Linked DNA regions of Oryctolagus cuniculus. The protein of the gene in region 4 purifies or fractionates together with the protein of the main gene of each other region. This does not show direct contact. Links are inferred from orthologs where the notes say so. Each region holds a gene or a part of one and is shown on either strand. Other genes may lie near its edges.

The links.
Region 1: the proteins of LGALS3BP (region 4) and HSP90AB1 purify together in Homo sapiens (affinity purification with mass spectrometry; 3 studies listed by BioGRID and IntAct, with this or other methods). This does not show direct contact. The link is inferred for Oryctolagus cuniculus from reciprocal best matches to the Homo sapiens genes LGALS3BP and HSP90AB1.
Region 2: the proteins of LGALS3BP (region 4) and CUL7 purify together in Homo sapiens (affinity purification with mass spectrometry; 3 studies listed by BioGRID and IntAct, with this or other methods). This does not show direct contact. The link is inferred for Oryctolagus cuniculus from reciprocal best matches to the Homo sapiens genes LGALS3BP and CUL7.
Region 3: the proteins of LGALS3BP (region 4) and MYCBP2 purify together in Homo sapiens (co-immunoprecipitation; 3 studies listed by BioGRID and IntAct, counting the BioPlex papers as one, with this or other methods). This does not show direct contact. The link is inferred for Oryctolagus cuniculus from reciprocal best matches to the Homo sapiens genes LGALS3BP and MYCBP2.

The regions. Positions count from the first base shown.
Region 1 is NC_091436.1:125,878,988-125,883,230, forward strand, and holds the end of HSP90AB1 (heat shock protein HSP 90-beta), read right to left. Parts: intron 4,235-4,243; coding exon 4,101-4,234; intron 3,991-4,100; coding exon 3,676-3,990; intron 3,398-3,675; coding exon 3,232-3,397; intron 3,078-3,231; coding exon 2,887-3,077; intron 2,780-2,886; coding exon 2,632-2,779; intron 2,547-2,631; coding exon 2,278-2,546; intron 1,925-2,277; coding exon 1,591-1,924; intron 1,499-1,590; coding exon 1,389-1,498; 3' UTR 1,341-1,388; exon of another isoform or gene 1,304-1,340; 3' UTR 1,126-1,303; downstream 1-1,125. Other genes in the region: SLC35B2 (adenosine 3'-phospho 5'-phosphosulfate transporter 1), read left to right, coding at 1-560. UniProt on the Homo sapiens protein: Molecular chaperone that promotes the maturation, structural maintenance and proper regulation of specific target proteins involved for instance in cell cycle control and signal transduction. Undergoes a functional cycle linked to its ATPase activity.
Region 2 is NC_091436.1:126,972,391-126,977,141, forward strand, and holds part of CUL7 (cullin-7), read left to right. Parts: coding exon 1-430; intron 431-860; coding exon 861-999; intron 1,000-1,088; coding exon 1,089-1,285; intron 1,286-1,549; coding exon 1,550-1,805; intron 1,806-3,773; coding exon 3,774-4,011; intron 4,012-4,092; coding exon 4,093-4,198; intron 4,199-4,751. UniProt on the Homo sapiens protein: Core component of the 3M and Cul7-RING(FBXW8) complexes, which mediate the ubiquitination and subsequent proteasomal degradation of target proteins. Core component of the 3M complex, a complex required to regulate microtubule dynamics and genome integrity.
Region 3 is NC_091440.1:35,418,357-35,423,107, forward strand, and holds part of MYCBP2 (E3 ubiquitin-protein ligase MYCBP2), read left to right. Parts: intron 1-3,533; coding exon 3,534-3,641; intron 3,642-4,224; coding exon 4,225-4,390; intron 4,391-4,751. UniProt on the Homo sapiens protein: Atypical E3 ubiquitin-protein ligase which specifically mediates ubiquitination of threonine and serine residues on target proteins, instead of ubiquitinating lysine residues.
Region 4 is NC_091448.1:2,763,151-2,768,522, forward strand, and holds the start of LGALS3BP (galectin-3-binding protein), read left to right. Parts: upstream 1-1,703; 5' UTR 1,704-1,857; intron 1,858-3,078; 5' UTR 3,079-3,099; coding exon 3,100-3,151; intron 3,152-3,831; coding exon 3,832-4,023; intron 4,024-4,857; coding exon 4,858-4,989; intron 4,990-5,372.

The DNA.
Region 1 (4,243 bases), on a different chromosome or scaffold from region 4:
CGGTCGGGGTCAGCATGTTCCTGCTGTCCAGCGGGCCTGAGCCCCGCAGCTCCCCGGCCACCACGCTCTCAGGCCTCATCTTGCTGGCAGGCTACATTGCTTTCGACAGCTTCACCTCAAACTGGCAGGATGCCCTGTTTGCCTATAAGATGTCATCGGTGCAGATGATGTTCGGCGTCAACCTCTTCTCCTGCCTCTTCACGGTCGGCTCTCTGCTGCAGCAGGGGGCCCTCCTGGAGGGGACACGCTTCATGGGGCGCCACAGCGAGTTTGCAGCCCACGCCTTGCTGCTGTCGGTGTGCTCAGCCTGCGGCCAGCTCTTCATCTTCTACACCATCGGCCAGTTCGGGGCGGCGGTCTTCACCATCATCATGACCCTGCGCCAGGCCTTTGCCATCCTCCTCTCCTGCCTCCTCTATGGCCACACGGTCACTGTGGTGGGCGGGCTGGGGGTGGCTGTGGTCTTCGCTGCGCTCCTGCTCAGAGTCTACGCCCGGGGGCGACTAAAGCAGAGGGGAAAGAAGGTGGTGCCTGGGGAGGCCCCAGTGCAGCAGGTTTGAGGCAGGAGGGGCCCCGCCCACCACCCAGGCTCTCCTCTACTTGGTGGCACTGGCTCTAGGGCAAAATGTGCAGCTGGCGGGCGGGGAGCCCGAGGCAGACTTCCCCTTGGCCTTAAGTCACCTGTTTGACAGCCCTCCTGAGGGGCTTGGGGGGGTGTCGAGCCTACCTGTTGTCACCAGCGCTTCACCTGTGCTTAGCCCCTACATCGGGGACTTCCCTCCCACACCTGCGTTTAACTGTGGGGAAAAGCACAGCACAAGTGTTTGGGGCGCCAAGTGCTGCTTTTCAAGGCGGGTGACAGGGTGCTGAGGGAGCTGGCTCCGTGAGCTAGTGCAGGCTTTGGTACTCTGGAAATGTCGTTTTGCTCTTTATAATTTTATTAAATTGCTGCAGTGGACAAGTCCTGTGTGTCAGGTGACTGAAGGGGTTGGGAGGACAGGGTTGCAGGGTGGGCACCCCCACTACCCCCTTAGCTTTGGGGTGAGCAACACCAGCACAGCCCTCTGTGCTCACAACTGCTGGACACCAAAAGCAGTGCATCCACTTTACAAGGGAGAGCAGAACTGTATAAAACGGCGTCATCTTTATTTTGCATACTTTAATTTCAGAACAAAATAAACAAAAAAAACCCACAATACACAACATCCAACCCCATTGTCAAATTAAGGAGGGGATGGGGCTTGAGGCCTTTGTTTCCTGCCATAAGACACAGGACAGGAGAGAGACCACTAGACATCAGCAGGGGAGCCAGGTGGGACAGGGCCACTCAAGGCTGCTGTGGGAGCCACGGGGACACTATACAGAGGGCAGGAGTTTCCGAGGAGTTCCTAGTCTACTTCTTCCATGCGGGAGGCGTCCTCATCTCCCTCGAGAGGGGGGATCTCCTCCGGAACAGCTGCGCTGGGTTCCTCTGCTGCCACCTCATCCTCATCAATGCCTAGGAAACAGAAAATAGGAGGTTCCAACCACACAGCACGGAGGGAGGGAAGGGTGTCCCCACCCGGAACCCAGGCACTGCTCACTCCATACCTAGGCCTAGCTTGATCATGCGATAGATGCGGTTGGAGTGGGTCTGGGGATCCTCCAGGGAGAAGCCGGAGGACAGCAGCGCAGTTTCAAAGAGCAGCACCACCAGATCCTTGACTGCCTTGTCGTTCTTATCCGCCTCGGCCTTCTGCCTCAGCGTCTCCACGATGGGGTGGTCGGGATTGATCTCCAGGTGCTTCTTGGCCATCATGTAGCCCATGGTAGAGTTGTCTCGAAGTGCCTGGGCCTTCATGATCCGCTCCATGTTGGCTGTCCAGCCGTAGGTGCTGGTCACGATGCAGCAGGGCGAAGACACGAGCCTATTGGAGATTGTCACCTGCAAACAGCCAGCAAACCTCAGGTGTGTGTGGAGGTCAGCCTTACATCTTTGCCAAGCCTTAGAGACAGCTCACACCTAACTCCTGAATAAAACCACTCACTGCAGGGCCACTGGCATCACCAGCTGCTCCGCTTCAGAGCCAGCTCCCTACGAATGTGCCTAGGAAGATGGCCCAAGAGCTCCGGCCCCTGCCACCTCCCAGGGAGACCTGGAGTTCCAGGCTCCTTGGCCTGGCTTACCCCAAGCCATTGTGCCCTCTCCAACCCTGCCCTTGAATCTTGACACACACAGCAAGCACGCAAAGCTGCACCTCCAAAGGAGTGCGGAACACCTGAGCCCCAGGTGCTCACCTTCTCAACCTTCTTATCCAGGATCTCCTTCATGAGCTTGCAGAGGTTCTCAAACTTCGCCTTGCTCTCCTCCATCTTCTTCTTCTCCTCCTCGTCCTCAGGCAGCTCCAGGCCCTCTTTGGTCACAGACACCAAGCTCTTCCCGTCGAACTCCTTGAGTTGCTGCACGCAGTACTCGTCGATCGGCTCTGTCATGTACACCACCTCGAAGCCCCGCTTCCGCACGCGCTCCACGAAAGCCGAGTTGGCCACCTGCTCTTTGCTCTCCCCTGCAAGGTCATTCAATGGGACTCAGACACGAATGCCCCTGCCCTGCCCAGCCCCTGCCCGCCTCAGACCCAGACGCGCACGCACCAGTGATGTAGTAGATGGACTTCTGTGTCTCCTTCATGCGAGAGACGTACTCAGACAGCGAAGTCATCTCGTCTCCAGACTGGGAGGTGTGGTAGCGCAGCAGCTCAGAGAGGCGGCGCCGGTTGGTGGAGTCCTCGTGGATGCCAAGCTTTAAGGGCGGGAAGAGAAACCACCATCAGCTGGGCTAGAACTTTGAACGACCCACTTACCACGTACCCAAACGTGCCCCAAGGGAGAAAGCCACTCGCTCCTCACCTTCAAGTTCTTGGAGAAGGCCTCATAGAACTTCTTGTAGTTCTCCTTGTCTTCCGCCAGCTCGGAGAAGAGCTCGAGGCACTTCTTCACGATGTTCTTGCGGATGACTTTCAAGATCTTGCTCTGCTGCAGCATTTCGCGGGAGATGTTCAAGGGCAGGTCTTCGGAGTCGACCACGCCACGGATGAAGTCTGCAACCAGGCAGTGCGGCAGCTTGGTCAAGACCAGGCCAGACTGGACAGAGCCACCCGGATGCGCACACGAGGTCCGGCTTTCTCCCTGGACCACTATCTGGGATGAAGCCTGCAGCCCCCTCCAACGCCACCGGGCCAAGGCCATACTCACTGAGATACTCTGGGATCAGCTCATCACAGCTGTCCATGATGAACACACGGCGGACGTACAGCTTAATGTTGTTCTTCTTCTTCTTGTTCTCAAAGAGGTCAAAGGGAGCTCGGCGAGGGATGAAAAGCAAAGCCCTGAATTCCAGCTGACCTTCCACGGAGAAGTGCTGCGACAGGAGACCCAAGGTAAGCCAGCAGGACGCGCCAGGCCCAGGGTGCCCTTCAGTCCCAACTAGACTCCAACCTGGAATTATCGTCCCCCAAGCACTTGCGACATGATTCCTAATGCCCTAAACACACCTACGCTGGTCCCAGCTGCATAAAATCCTGAACTTCCACCAGGAGAGAAAGCCAGGTCCTCGGGCAGGGCCATCAGCGATGCTCCCGGTTCTCAGCTGGGCTACCCCCTGCCTCTCCACCCCGGCCCACTCCCAAGGCCTCTCACCTTGACTGCCAAGTGGTCCTCCCAGTCATTGGTGAGGCTCTTGTAGAACTCGCCGTACTCCTCCTGGGTGATGTCATCAGGGTTTCTGGTCCAGATGGGCTTGGTCTTGTTCAGTTCTTCCTGATCGATGTACTTCTCCTTGATCTTCTTGGTTTTCTTTTTCTTGTCCTTGCCGCTGTCATCTTCCTCATCGGAGCCCACATCTTCGATCTTGGGCTTCTCATCGTCCTCCTTATCTTCCTCCTCCTTTTTCTCTTCCCCTTTTTCTTCCTCTGCTTCATCATCACTGATTTCCTTTTCTCTTTCCTTCTCCAACTAAAGCACCCAGAAACACTCGTCAGTTTTGAGCACCGACCCTCAGGGCAAGCAAATGGCCCAGCCCACCAGAAGCACAGGCAGGCTGCCTCCGCGGGAAGCATACTCACGTAGAGGGTGATGGGGTAGCCTATGAACTGCGAGTGCTTCTTCACCACCTCCTTGACCCGCCTCTCCTCCAGGTACTCAGTCTGGTCCTCCTTGAGATGCAGGATCACCTTGGTGCCTCGGCCAATAGGCTCCCCTGCAGACC
Region 2 (4,751 bases), on a different chromosome or scaffold from region 4:
CGACAATGCTGGAGAATCGGGCGCCCAGAACAACTCTGCTCCTGAAGACTTGAGTGGGGACAGGGCTCGGCTGGAGCTGGAGTACAGCATGGCCATGGGTACCCTGATCTCAGAGCTGGTGCAGGCCATGCGCTGGGACCGGGCCTGGAACAGACCAGGGAGCTCTCCACGGTCCCCCTGTTCCATCTTCCAGCCTCAGGTGGCGGATGGGGACCCTCAGCTCCCACCCACCGAGGCTCAGCCCGCCCTCAGGCGGTCAAGGCGGTTTCGCCCTCGCTCTCAGTTTGCAAGCGGCAATACCTACGCCTTGTATGTGCGGGACACGCTGGAGCCGGGGATGCGCGTGCGGATGCTGGATAACTTCGAGGAGATCAGTGCTGGCGATGAGGGCGAGTTCCAGCAGAGCAACAGCGGTGTGCCCCCTGCGCAGGTGGGTGTGCGGTGCCCAGTGATGGGACACTGCTGGGGACCTTCTCGGGATGAGGGAGCTCCAGTGGACTATCCCGGGAGAGAATCCTCAGGAAGACCAAGGTGGTGACAGGCGTCCGCACTGGAGAGGGAGGATGTGGTGTCTGTGTTTAGGAGACGAGACGGCAAGGCTCCCTAAGAGGTCAAGATTAGAGAGATGGGGTGCTTGAGGCCAGGAGGAAGTGTCGGGACAAAGGCCATCAATGAACAGGTGAAAGGAGACCCATCCCCCAAAGGAAAAGGCGTCCTTTGAGTGCATGTATTTGTTCTATGGAGATTTTTCCAAACCTGACCAAGCGGTCACCCTAAGGGCTTAAGTCCTCATCGCTGGATCACACCCGGTCATCCGTGAGCCCTCTTCCCTCTCCCTCTCACTTTCCCCCATCTCGCAGGTATTCTGGGAGTCGACAGGCCGCACCTATTGGGTGCACTGGCACATGCTGGAGATCTTAGGCTTTGAGGAAGACATGGAGGACATGGTTGAAGCTGATGAGTACCAGAGGGCGATGATCAGTGGAGCTCTGGATCGAGGTGAGCTCAGGGAGGAAGCAGGGGTCAGCCCGGAGCCGAGAGGCAGTCTGGGCTGGGTGACATCCTGTGCGCGTGGCCCACTTCCACAGCCCTGCCCTCCTTGCGCTGGAAGCCCATGACCGAGCTCCATGCTGCGCCTTATGTGCCGCCCGAGGATGAGGATGCTGAGGAGAGGGAGCACCTGACCCAGGCTGAGTGGTGGGAGCTCCTCTTCTTCGTCAGGAAGTTGGGCGAGTCTGACCACCAGGATGTTCTGCAGCTCCTCCAGGAGAACCTGGATGGAGAGGTAGAGACCCCTGGAGGCTGGAGGGCTGCACTGCGAGTGCTGCACTGTGATAGAGCATTTGGGAGGCGCAGGGTGGGCAGTGGGGTCTGGAATGTTGGGAGGTGGAAGGAGTGGGTTAGCTTTCTGGGAGGAGCCAGCTGCCAGCCATGAGAGGTTCACAGTGAGGGAGGGGTGTGTATGCAGAGACCCCTGGCCCTGCCAGGTCGCCCTGAAGCCTGGGAGTCCTCAGGGCTGCCTGCAATGACGGCTTTCTCTCCCCGGTAGCATATTCTGGATGACGAGATCCTGGCCGAGCTGGTAGTCCCCATAGAGTTGGCCCAGGACCTGCTGCTGTCTCTGCCACAGAAACTTGATGACAGCGCCCTTAGGGACCTGCTCAACTGCCGTATCTACAGGAAGTATGGGCCCGAAGCCCTGTTAGGGCAAGTGGCCTACGCATCCTCTGTAGAAGCTGAGCGAGATGTCCTGCTGGAAGCCCGGGCCCCGCCCCAGGAATCAGAAGACACAGCTAGAGCTCAAGGTAGATGCAGACAAAGATAGCAGCTGTGCAGATTTGCTTTCGGAGGGCACTGGTGCAGGAGAACTGTCTGTGCTAATAGTTGCGCAGCGCTGTCTGGGCAGGATGGCCTCTTAGAGGGCAGGCATTGTGGTGCAGCAGGTTAAGCTGCTGCTTAGGGAGCCTGCATCCCATGAGTGCCAGTTCAAGTCCTGGCTGCTCCACTTCCAGTCCAGTTCCTTGCTAAAGTGCTTGGGAAGCAGGAGATAGTCCCTCCAAGTATTTGAGTCCCTGCCACCAACAGAGGAGACCTGGATGGAATTCCTGGCTCCTGACTTCTGTTGTGCCCATTTGGGAAGTGTACGAGTGACAGGAGATCTCTGTCTCTCTTGCTCTGGCTGTTGCTTACTGTCACTCTTTGTCTCCACATCACCCCTCCCCACCACACCCCGCCTATCACTCTGCCTTTCAGATAATTAAGTAAATGGATGAATCTAATTTTTTTGAAAAAAGTGGCACTTTAGGAAGAATTTGAAACTTGGAGATCATAACAAATGAAGTAGATGTCTTCCCATCAAAGAATGAAGGAGGATGGAAAGTTAGAAAATTGTAAGAGATGTTTGCAACCTTGAACAAGCCCTCAGGTGGGAATATTTGGTGCAGAGGTTAGGTTACTGTTTAGGATTCCTTCATCTCCTGTTGAAGCACCTGGTTCGAATTCCAGCTACTCCATTTCCGATGCAGCTTCATAGTAATGCATACCCTGGGAGGCAACAAGGGATGGCTGAAGTACCTGGGTGCCTGCTACCCCTCTGGAGAGACTGGATTGAGTTCCAGGCTCCTGGCTGCAGCCTGCCCTAGCTGTTGGCAAGCATTTGGGGAGTGAACCAACAATGGAAGATCTCTCTCTTTGTCTCTCTGCTTTTCAGATAAAATGAAAATAGATAAAAATCAAGAAAAAATTAATTGTTCTTTTGCATTTTTTAAAAAAACATTTATTTATTTGAAAAGCAGAGTTAGAGGGAGAGACAGAGAGATCTTCCATCCAGCAGTAGCCAAAAGCCTCATCTGGGTTTCCCACATGAATACAGGGGCTTAAAAGATTTATTTATTGAGCCGGTGCTATGGTGTAGTGTGTTAAAGCTCTGACCTGCAGTGCCAGCATCCCATGCGGGCACTGGTTTGAGTCCCGGCTGTACTTCTGATTCAGCTCCCTGCTTATGCACCTGGTAAAGCAGCAGAGGATGACCCAAGTGCTTGGGCTCCTACACCCATGTGGGAGACCTGGAAGAAGCTCCTGGCTCCTGGCTTTGGCTGGCCCAGCCCCAGTCGTTGTAGTCATTTGGGGAGTGACCCAGCAAATGGAAGACCTCTGTGTAACTCTACCTTTCAAAAATAAAACAGACTTTAAAAAAAGAAAAAGTTTATTTATTTAGAAGAGTACAAAGAGATCAATCTTCTGTCTGCTGGTTCACTCCTCAAATGGCCACAATGGCTGGAGCAGGGTTGATCCAAAGCCAGGAGCCAGGAGCTTCTTCCGTGTTTCCCACATGGGCGCAGGGGCCCAAGCACTTGGACCATCTACTTCTTTCCCAGCCCATAGCACAGAGCTGGATTGGAAGCAGAGCAGCTGGTCTCAAACCGATGCCTATATGGGATGCTGGCACTGCAGGTGGCAGCTTTACCCACTACACCACAGCGCTGGCCCCTAGCTCCAACTTTTTGTGGCAGAGAAAAACTGTTTGCTTTTAAATCTAAGGACATGGTCTGATGATTGTAAGCAGAGAGCTGCTTAGCTACCTTAAGAATACAGAATATAACATGTTTTAATGACATCTTGTAAGATGAGATCTTCAAGCCTAACTTTTAGGGAGACAAATCAAAAACATTTTTCGGAGAAATGAGAAAACATGATTGAGAGTTGTGACTCAGTCCTTTTGTGATCGCTGTCACTAACAGTGGCCAACCCTTGCGGCTCCTCCTCTCCCGCAGCCAAAGAAGCCCCTTGTAAGAGCCCCGAGTCTCCTCTGCAGCGTCTGGCAGAGGATTGCGGCCCCACTGGGAAAATCCTCCTGGATCTGGAGCAAGCCCTTAGCTCAGAGAGCAGCCGGCAGCATGCGGTCCCACCCTTACTGCTGCAGCTCCAGCGTCAGCCCCAGCCCTTCCTCGCACTGATGGAGAGCCTCGGCACGCCAGCCACCAACAGAGCCCTGCACCTGACTGCTCTGAGGTCAGGGGGTGTGAGAGGCAGGGCTGGGCAGAGGGGTCAGCGTGTGGCTGCCTGCACATCCGTGTCCTCTCAATTCCCCAGAATCCTGAAGCAGCTGGTGGACTTCCCCGACGCACTGCTACTGCCCTGGCATGAGGCTATGAGTGCCTGCATGGCTTGCCTGCGGTCCCCAAACACCGACCGAGAGGTACCCCCACCCTGCTGTGGGATATGCTGGGAGGGAGAACGCCCGGGGCTGCCGCTGGTGAGCCCGACACCCCGGGCAGCGCTGTGGGGGACACGACGGAGCCTTTGTGCTCTTGCATTGAGTTGTGTTTTTAAAATTGAATTTTATTTTTTTAAATAGGTAACACACTCACACGGTTCACAAATCAAAACGATGTAACAAGGTATACATTGAGCGTTCTTGCTCACACCTGCCATCCTTATTGCTAACTGCTTGTGTTAACTTAGGTACCCTTCCTGTGTTTCCTTGTGCAAATATCAATAAACCCAAGTGTGCAGTCTCACTTAGCGGCCCCTTGCTTATACCAGAGAATCTATATATGCTACATGAAAGCCTTAACGATGCTCTTGTCGGCCCGGGGCGTGGGAGAAAGGGGATGGAGGCAGCAGAGGGGACCATCAGGAACCAGAATCTCCTGTGAGAGCTACAGAGAGCGCCTGGTCACAGACGCGGTCAGAGAACGAGGGTTGTGGTGCAGTGGGTGTCTGCAGGCCGCACCTTTGGCTGGTAGCCA
Region 3 (4,751 bases), on a different chromosome or scaffold from region 4:
AGCTTTACCAGATTGCATTCCCATCAACAGTGGATTATGGTACCTTTCCCCCACATCCTCACCAGCATTTGTTGTTTGTTGATTTCTGTATGTGAGCCATTCTAACTGGGGTGAGATGAAACCTCATTGTGGTTTTGATTTGCTTTTCCCTGACAGCTACTGATCCTGAACATTTTTTCATGTGTCTGTTGGCCATTTGGATTTCCTTTTTTGAAAAATGTCTGTTTAAGTCCTTGGCCCATCTCTTTTTTTTTTTAACTTTTATTTAATGAATATAAATTTCCAAAGTACAGCTTATGGATTACAATGGCTCCCCCCCCCCATAACTTCCCTCCCACCCACAACACTCCCCTTTCCCTCTCCCTCCCCCCTTCCATTCACATCAAGATTCATTTTCAGTTCTTTTTATATACAGAAGATCAGTTTAGCATATATTGAGTAAAGATTTCAACAGTTTGCACCCACACAGAAACACAAAGTGAAAAATACTGTTTGAGTACTAGTTATAGCATTAAATCACAATGTACAGCACATTAAGGACAGAGATCCTACATGAGGAATAAGTGCACAGTGATTCCTGTTGTTGACTTAACACTTGGCCCATCTCTTAAGTGGGTTGTTTGTTTTGTTGTTATGGAGTTTTTTATCTCTTTGTAGATTATGGTTATTAATCCTCTATCAGTTGCATAGTTTGCAAATAATTTCTCCCATTCTGTCAGTTGCCTCTTCACTTTTCTGTTTATTCTCAATTTGATGTAATCCCAGTTATTAATTTTGGGTTTGGCTGCCTGTGCCTCTTGGGTCTTTTCCAAGAAGTCTTTGCCTGTGCCAATATCTTGCAGGGTTTCTCTGATGTTCTCTAATAATGGTGTCGTGGATTAGATCTTTAATCTATATTGAGTAGATTTTTGTGTGAGGTGTGAGGTACGGATCTTGCTTCATATTTCTGCATGTGGAAATCCAGTTTTCCCAGCACCATTTGTTGAAGAGACTGTCCTTGCTCCAGGGATTGGTTTTAGCTCCTTGATCAAATATAAGTTGCTTGTAGATGTTTGGATTGATTTCTGGTGTTTCTATTCTGTTCCATTGGTCTATCCATCTGTTTTTGTACCACTACCAGGCTGTTTCAATTATATCTGCCCTGTAGTATGTCTTGAAATCTGGTATTGTGATGCCTCTGGCTTTGTTTATGTTGTATAAAATTGCTTAAGCTATTTAAGGACTCCTATGCTCCATATAGATTTCAGCATTTTTTTCTAGATCTGAGAAGAATGTCTTTGGTATTTTGACTGGTATAGCATTGAATTTGTAAATTGCGTTAGGAAGAATGGACATTTTGATGATACTGATCCTTCTAATCCATGAACATGGAAGATTTTTCTATTGTTTTGTGTCTTTTTCTATTGCTTTCTTTAATGTTTTATAATTCTCATCATAGGCATCTTTTGCATCCTTAGTTTAGTCCAAGGTATTTGAATTTTTGGTAGCTATTGTTAATGGGATTGATCTTAGAATTTCTTTCTCAGCCATGGCTTTGTCTGTGTAAACAAAGGCTGTTGATTTTTGTATATTGATTTTATATCATGCTACTTTACCAAACTTGTCTATGAATTCCAGTAGTCTCTTAGTGGAGTTCTTTGGATCCCCTAAATAAAGAATCATGTTGTCTGCAAATAGGGATAATTTGAATTCTTCCTTCCCAGTTTATATCCCTACGATTACTTTTTCTTGCCTAATGGCTCTGGCTAAAACTCCCAGTACTATATTGAATAGCAGTGGTGAGAGTGGGCATCCCTGTCTGGTACTGGATCTCAGTGGGAATGCTTCCAACTTTTCCCCATTCAATATGATGCTGGCTGTAAGTTTGTCATAAATTGCCTTGATTGTGTTGAGAAGTGTTCCTTCTAAGCCCAATTTGCTTAGATCTTTTATCATGAAAGGGTATTTTATTTTATCAAACACTTTATCTGCATCTATTAAGATAATCGTATGGTTTTTGTTCAGAAGTTTGTTAATGTGTTGTATCACATTGATTTATTTGCAAATGTTGAACCATCCCTGCATACCAAGGAAAAATCCCACTTGGTCTGGGTGGGTGATCTTTCTGATGTGTTAATTGAATCATTTCGCTAAAATTTTGTTGAGGATTTTTGGGTCTATATTCATCAGGGAAATTGGTCTGTAATTCTCTTTCTCTGTTGCATCATTTTCAGGTTTAGGAATTAAGGTGATGCTGGGTTCATAGAAAGAATTTGGACGGATTCCTTCTCTTTCAATTGTTTTGAATAACTTTAGAAAAATTGGATTTAGTTCTTTAATCATCTGGTAGAATCATCCGGTCCTGGGCTCTTCTTTGTTGGGAGCGCCTTTATTACTGATTTAATTTCCATCTTGGTTATGGGTCTGATTAGGTTTTCTGTGTCTTCATGGCTCAATTTAGGTATGTTATATGTGTTCAGGAATCTGTCCATTTCTTCTAGGTCCAAGTTTGTTGGCATACAGCTCTTTGTAGAAACTTCTGATGATTCTTTTATTTCTGTGGTATCTGTCATTACATTTCCTTTTTCATCCCTAATTTTATTGATTTGAGTCTTCTCTCTCCTTTTTTTTTTTTTTTTTTTTGTTAGTTGGGCCAATGGCATGTCAATTTTGTCTGTTTTTTTAAAAAACCAGCTCTTTGTTTTGCTGATCTTTTGTATTTTTTTATTCAATTTTGTTGATTTCTTCTCTAATTTTAATTATTTCTTTTCTCCTTTCACTTTTGGGTTTGGTTTGCTGTCCTTTTTCTAGATCCTTGAGGTGCAATGATGGCTCATTTGTTTGGTGCTTTTCTAATTTCTTGATGTAGGCATCTATTGCTATAAACTTTCCTCTTAACACTGCTTTTGCTGTATCCCATAAGTTTTTGATATGTTGTATTGTCATTGCATTTGTTATCAGAAATTTTTTGATTTCACTTTTGATTGCTTCTATAACCCACTATTCATTCAGGACCATGTAGAGCATATGAAGCAGTTGTGTTTTTTTAAGACCTCTTGGTCTTACTTTCACTACTTCCAATTCATTGCTATGAATCGAACAGGAATTGTCTCCCCAAATTCATGCAGACTTTTAAACTCCAAAATCTCATATTAGCATTTAATGGATTAATTAAGGTAGAGGTTTGATCTTGCTGCAGTGGCTGGGACGTGGGCCCAGTGGGAGGTCCTTAAGTCATAAGGATCTTGGACAATAGTTCTCAAAAGAAAGTTGATTATTTAGACCAAGTTTGGCCCAACTCTCCCTCTGCTTCCTGGCTCCCTATATACATATCTACTATTGCTAGCCTCTACCTGATGCCAGACTAATGGGACCAACCAGTCTTGATCTGTGACCCCTCAACTGTAAGCCAAAATAAACCTTTTCTTTCCCAAGAATCTCTTCTCAGGCGTTTTAGTTAAAATAGCAAAAAGCTGACTAATACACACTTACAGTGTGTCACTCATGTCAGAGTTGTCCTTTCTCTGCTGTCATCTAAATGTTTTCCTCTTTAGGCCTATTTTGGTGGTGAAGCTCGCTGTGATGCTGAAGCTGGACAAGGGGATGACTATGACCCCAGAGAGCTCATTTGTGGTGCCTGCTCTGATGTGTCAAGGGCTCAGGTGAGCAGAACATTTTATTAAAAAGGATAGTATAGAAACATTAAAATTATATTTTTTAATAAATATAAAGCCAGTATTGTGGAAAGTTAAACCAGGTTTTTTCCCATAGTGTTTTCTGATATTTGTAACACATTGTACTATTTTTTAAAATTATTTTATAGATACATTTCCATGGATGGTATTTTCATTTCATAGTTTTGTTTTCTGTGAAATGGTCACCATATTTGAACAAGGAATTAGCGTATGTGTCACATTTTCTCAAGCTTTTTAGGTTTTCTCTTCTTCAAGCAAATCTTCACAGTATATCTGTACAATTGGGAGAGAGATGAAATAGTATTAAATTTTCAACTTGAAAGACCAGGAAATATTCACAAGGAAATTGAGTAGTTGATGGAGATGGGTTCAGAACATGGGGCTTTTTCCAGACAACTTGGGCTTTTGCAGGCTATGTATGCTCCCAAATAGGAACTAATGAGCTATGTATATGACTATCCCAAGTAAAATTGAAATAGTCTCACTGTAATATTGAATCTGTCTCTCTCTCTCTCTCTCTCTTTTTTTTTTTTTTTTTTTTTTTCTATAGATGTGTCCCAAACATGGCACAGACTTTTTGGAATATAAATGTCGCTACTGCTGCTCAGTTGCTGTCTTTTTCTGTTTTGGAACAACACATTTTTGTAATGCTTGTCATGATGATTTTCAAAGAATGACTAGCATTCCTAAGGAAGAACTACCACACTGTCCTGCAGGTATGCTTTTAATATTTTAAAATCAGAATTGTGATCTCTAAGGGTACTTCAAAAAGTTCATGAGAACATGGAATTTAAAAATAGGGGTTTATTTTGGTGCAGAAACATTTCTGGGGCAAAAAAAATTGGCTTTAAATACATGGAAAAATGTGCATTATAAAAAACCTGTGCTTGGATTTCAAAACATTTATTGTGCCCAAATATTTGTAAATTCAGTTTTAATTCCATTATTCCATGAACTTTTTCCAGTATGCTGACATGTGGCATCTGCTTTTATTTAAAGTTAGAAGGAGAATTCTTTGCTTCATGTGGTGGAAACCCAATTCAAACTAAACTAACTCAAAGAGGCAAAGGGAATTTT
Region 4 (5,372 bases):
CGCCAGCGCGGGAGCGGAGGCGCCGCGGCCCCAGGACCCAGCGTCCCCTGCGGGCCCTGTGACCACCACGCAGCCTGGCTCTGGAGGCCCCAGGGCGGGCCTGTTGTGTTTTGTAAACAATAAAGCCACAGAGGGGAACTGTGTTCTTCCTGCCTCCTGGTCTCCCTTGACTCTTCAGCGGGGTCTGCCCTGGGGAGCACCCAGCCTGGTGGAGTGGGAGGGGCTGGGGACGGGCTGCTCCCCCACGGGACACCTGTCAGGAAGGCCTTGGTCGCACAGGCCTGAGGCGGGAGGAGGCTGGCTCTGGGCACCCTGCAGCTCCGTGTAGAAGTCACTGCTCTGCCGGTCCACTTCCTCCCGCGTGGACCAGAGCGGTCTCAGCTTCCCGCCCGTGGCCCATCCAGGTGGGGGTCGGCGCCTCGCCGCGCGTGTGCCCAGGCCTCGAGGGCGGCTTGGGCGGAGTCTGACCCAAGCCTGCCTGGCGCTTGGCAGAGAGCCTTGGCCTTGGAGACAGAAGTGGCGGTGAGGGGTTCTGCCTCCAGCTGTGGCCGTCCAGGCCTGCGGGCCCCCGGGGGCTCAGATGAACCAAGCAGGGGAACAGCCACGGGTCCCACCCAGCGGCTCCCAGAGCTGCCACGTGCTGACAGGGCCCCTGCCTGCCCCCGCCCCCTGGGAGTGCGTGCAGCTCCAGGTGGTTCTGTTCGGGGCCCTCATCTGGGCCCATGGGACGCAGGAACAGAAGCCAGAGATAGGGGGCCAGCATTTTGGCTCAGCTGGTGAAGCCGCCACCCATGAGGCCGGCATCCCATGTGAGTGCCAGTTCGAGTCCCGGCTGCTCCACTTCTGATCCAGCTCTCTGCTGTGGCCTGGGAAAGCAGTGGAAGATGGCCCAATCCTGGGCCCCTGCACCCGCATAGGATACCGGAGAATGCTCCTGGCTCCTGCTTTAGATCAGCTCAGCTCTGGCCATTGTGGTCGTTTGGGGGAGTGAACCAATAGATGGAAGACCTCTGTCTCTCTCCCTCTCTGTCTCTCCCTCTTTGCCTTTCAAATAAATAAATCTTTTTAAGAAAAGAAACCAGAGGTGATGTTGATCGGGTCACTGGGCCGCTGGGCCCAGGACCTCACACCCAGCGTGGTGGCTCAGGGCGCCATCCCCTGAGAGGACGCTGCTCCCGCTGGGCTGTCTGGGCGCACAGCCCTCCCCGACACCATCCCTGCGGCCAAGGGCGCCCTGGGACCTCGCAGCTGGGGATGGAGGCGGGGGGGGGTGGTGTGTGCTGGGCGGGGCCATTCGTGTTCCCGTTAGGGGAGTGACCGCTCTGCAGTGTGGGTGGTCAGCCCAGCGTGGACAAGGCCAGGCCCTGGTGTCAGGTACTGGGGCAGCTCCAGCTCAGCCACGTGCCGGCCGCTTTCCTGGTCTCCCAGGGCTCAGGGCCCCCTGCCCGACTGCCTGCGGGGGTCAGTGCCCTGCAGCCTGGCGGGGTGTGGGCTGCCCACCCAGCCAGCAACGTGCTGGGCCCAACCCTGCCAGGACACAGCGCTGCCGTCTGCCCCAGGGCCTCTGCTCCGCTGTCCCAGGCTGGCCTTCGTGTTGTGGTCCTGCCCCTCGCTGTAGGTCTTGTTGTCAGAACTTGGGTGGCTGCCATCCCCACCCCCACAGCCAGAGCAGGAAGGAAGAGGGGGCCTGGCCAGCAGAGCTGCAGCCAACCCCAGCGGAGGCTGCAGTCAGGTGGTTTGTGGGAATCGAAAGTCGTCCCTGTTCCCTGGAGCACTTCCTGGGGCCGCCCCTCCACACTGCAGGCTGGGCCTCCAGCAGAGGCGGGAGCCTCCCGCACAGCCACCTGTGCCAGGCAGGTAAGCCCCTGTCTACGCAGGCAGCCAGCGTGGGCCACACTGCAGGCACCGGGCCTGGAGCAGGGCGCCCCGGGCTCCCGAGTCCAGGGACCACCCCCGCCGCGCCTGGGCCCGCAGGGCCTCTGTGTGTGGTTGTTCCCTGCACAGGGACCCGGCCGAGGCAGGAGGGGCCAGCGTTGAGCCCTCAGCCCTGTCTTGGGCCTGCGCGTCCCCGCCCGGGCCTGGCCCCAAGGCCTTGTTCTCACCTGCACGACAGCACCGCACGGAGGGCGGCGGCCACGTGCCAGGGCCTCGCGTGGCCCCCATGTCCGGGGCCCTGACTTCCTGTCCCCAAGGGAACAAAGCCGGCCCTGCAGCTCCCTGGGAAGTGGGGCAGGGACAGCAGGTGGCCCTGGCCCTCCTGCCCGTGAAGGGCGCGCGGAGCCCTTGGCTTCCCTGGACAGCAGCCCCTGCACGGTCGTTGGGGCCAGGACAGCTACTGTGCGAGGGGCCCTGGGTGACCACGTAGTGCGGGCAGCCACGCCGGGCCCCCCACAGACTGCTGCACTGGGTCCCAGCGCTCGCGCAGCAGTGAGGAGCCGGGCCTGCCTGGCGGGTGTCCAGGCCCCCGCTTGTAGCCAGTGCTGCTAGTGGCCACCGCGGGTGTCCCAGAGAAGCAAACGCTGGCTCTGCCGGGGGCAGCAGGGCGGGCGGGGACGGGGGTGGGAGGTGCCCTGGGGAGGACCCCACGGCCTCTCCCAGCCTGTGTGTCCTGGGGACCGGAGCCGAAGTCCACGTCGTCCCCCTCTGGCCTCCCCCCAAGGGGCTCTCAGACACGCCCGTCTCCCACGGAGCTGCAGGGAGAACCCGCCAGGCAGGGACTCCCTCCCCCTCCTCCCCGACCCGAGCCCAGCCTCTCTGGGGCCCGGATTTCACTCCTGTCGGAGCCCCTGCCCTGCCTCTCACCTCCCTTCCCCTCTGCCCGCCTTGGGTGCCTCTGGGGCTCTGCCGCGCCCTGGGCCCCCGGCTGCGCCTCCCCCTCCCTCGCCCCTGCCTCTGGCCCAGGCTCACTCTGCCTGCAGCCCAGGCACAGCCCCCCCCAGGCATCCATGGCACAGGTCGCCTTCTTGTTCATCATGGGGAGATCTCGGGGGGGGGTTGCGGGAGGGGGTCCCTGTGTGCCCCGCAGCGGAGTGGAGGACGGGTCGGGGTGCGGGCTCACGCCGCTTCCTTCTGCTGCAGGGTCAGGGCTCCAGGGAGGCCATGGCCCCCCCACGGCTCTTCTGGGTGTGGCTGCTGCTCGCCGGGACTCGAGGTGAGCTGAGCCCGGGAGGTGCCCAGGGCCGAAGTCCACGCGCCTGCTGCCGCCCTGCCCCGCGGGGTCAGGGTCGGGGTTGGGGTCGGGGTGGGCCCCTCCTCCGGAGAGCTGGGAGGTGCTGGCCAGGTCTCTCCTGCCTCAAGCCAGGCGGTACCCAATGAGGGTGGCTTGTGTCTTCCGGGGACCCCGGGTTCTGGCTTTGGGGGGATGGGGAGGGGACCCAGGAACTCTGTCCCCAGTGGGGATGGGGGCAAGCACATAGGCCGGTGGCGGGGGTGGTCGTGAGGCCAGCAGCCTCTGGACACAGGCCAGGCCTCCAAGGGTCCTGGACACCTCCCTCCCCCTCCCCCTCGCCAGTCCTGGAGCCCATGGACGCCCCTGCTCGGCTGCCCTCGAGGGCCCCCACCCAGTCCTCTCTGGGGTCCTGCCCCTCTTGTCCAGTGCTGGAGAGCACCGGTTCCTCGTCCGTGTCCCTGTCCCTGTCCTCAGCTCCGGCCACGCGGACCAGGGAGACAAGTCAGCCTCGCGGGCTGGGGGCGGGGTCTGCACGGGTGTCACCCAGCCAGGGTGGAGGGCGCTTTGACGTGAGGGACCGGCCAGCCTGACCGGGGAAGCCCTTACAACCGCCGCGCTGCTGGGTGGGCGCCGCGTCCAGCTGACCTTTGCCCTCTCCGCAGGCGAGAAGGACGGGGACATGCGGCTGGCCAACGGGGACGCAGCCAACGAGGGCCGCGTGGAGATCTTCTACAGGGGCCAGTGGGGGACCGTGTGCGACAACCTCTGGGACCTGACGGACGCCAGCGTCGTCTGCCGGGCCCTGGGGTTCCAGAATGCCACCGAGGCTCTGGGCAGAGCCGCCTTCGGGCCAGGTGGGGCTGCCCATGCCCAGCACTGAGACAGGCCCGCTGCAAGGCCTCTGGGCCTGTTCCCTCTGGCCGCTCCGTGCTGGGCCAGTCCCCTCTGGGCCTGATCCTGAACCGTTCCCTCCCGAGGAGAATCTGTGGGCAGGAAGTGCCCGCTCCCCGCTGACTGAGTCTGGAAAAAAAGGGGAAAAACCCAAATTCGCAGCGGCGGGGCCCACAGCGTGAGCCAAGCCCAGGTGTTGGCCGTAAGAGATCCAAACCCACGCTGGACCGGCACCGTGGAATAGCCCGGTCCGAGGCCTGCATACAGGGGACGCACGCTGCAGAGGCGCGGGAACCCCAAAAACCAGCCCCCCGTTTTCTGAAAAGTCTCCTCCAGGGCAGGTGTGTGGGTCCGTGGATCAAGCTGCATCCCAGCCCGAGTGCCGCCCCGCCCCCGTCCAGTCCAGCTTGCAGCAGGTGACGGCCCACGTACCCAGGTTCCTGCCACCCTGTGGGAGACGCAGTGGGCGCTCCTGGCCCTTCGGCCTGGCCCAGTCCCGGCTGTTGCTGCCATTTGGGGAACGAACGGGAGGTTTCTCCATCTCAAATAAATAATACTTGAGCATTTTTTCAAGTGAGCGACAGAGGGAGCTCCCGTTTGCTGGTTCCGTCCCCAAATGCCCGAAATCTCTGGGCCAGGGCTGGAGCCGGAGGCCAGGAGACAATCCAGGCTTCCGTGTGCGTAGCCCGAGCCATCGCTGCTGCCTGCACGGGCTGCGTTGACAAGCAGCTGCCGCCCCGGCCACGGGCCCGGCGCCTGCTCACGCCCCGGCCCTGTCCACTTTGCTGCGCCGACAGGAACAGGCCCCGTGATGCTGGACGAGGTCGTGTGCACAGGGACGGAGTCCTCGCTGGCAGAATGCAGGTCCCTGGGCTGGCTGAAGAGCAACTGCAGGCACGCGCAGGACGCGGGCGTGGTCTGCACCAACGGTGCGTGTGCGCCCTCCAGCCCGGGGCCCCGGGGTGCTGCCCACCCACAGCCCACGAGGGGCCGGGCGGTTGGGAACCGCACCTGCTCCACAGTCCCTCCCGGACGCCACGACGGCTGACGGTGGCGTCAGCTCGCGGTCTGAGACCACGACAGCTCTCGCACTTGCTGGGTCAGCACTGGGGCCTGTCCGTTTCCCGGGGCGCAGAGGCCAGGACAGCCAGCGATGCCCCCCAGGCCCCCCACCCCCGCTCTGATTGGCCCCCCGCGGCTCTGCATGCGTGAGCCCCGGGCAAAGGTCTGCCGTGGTTCGCTCCTCCCTCTGTTCCGATGATTGATTGACTGATGGCTGTGGGGCTTGGAGGTTGGCGCCACCCAATCCGCC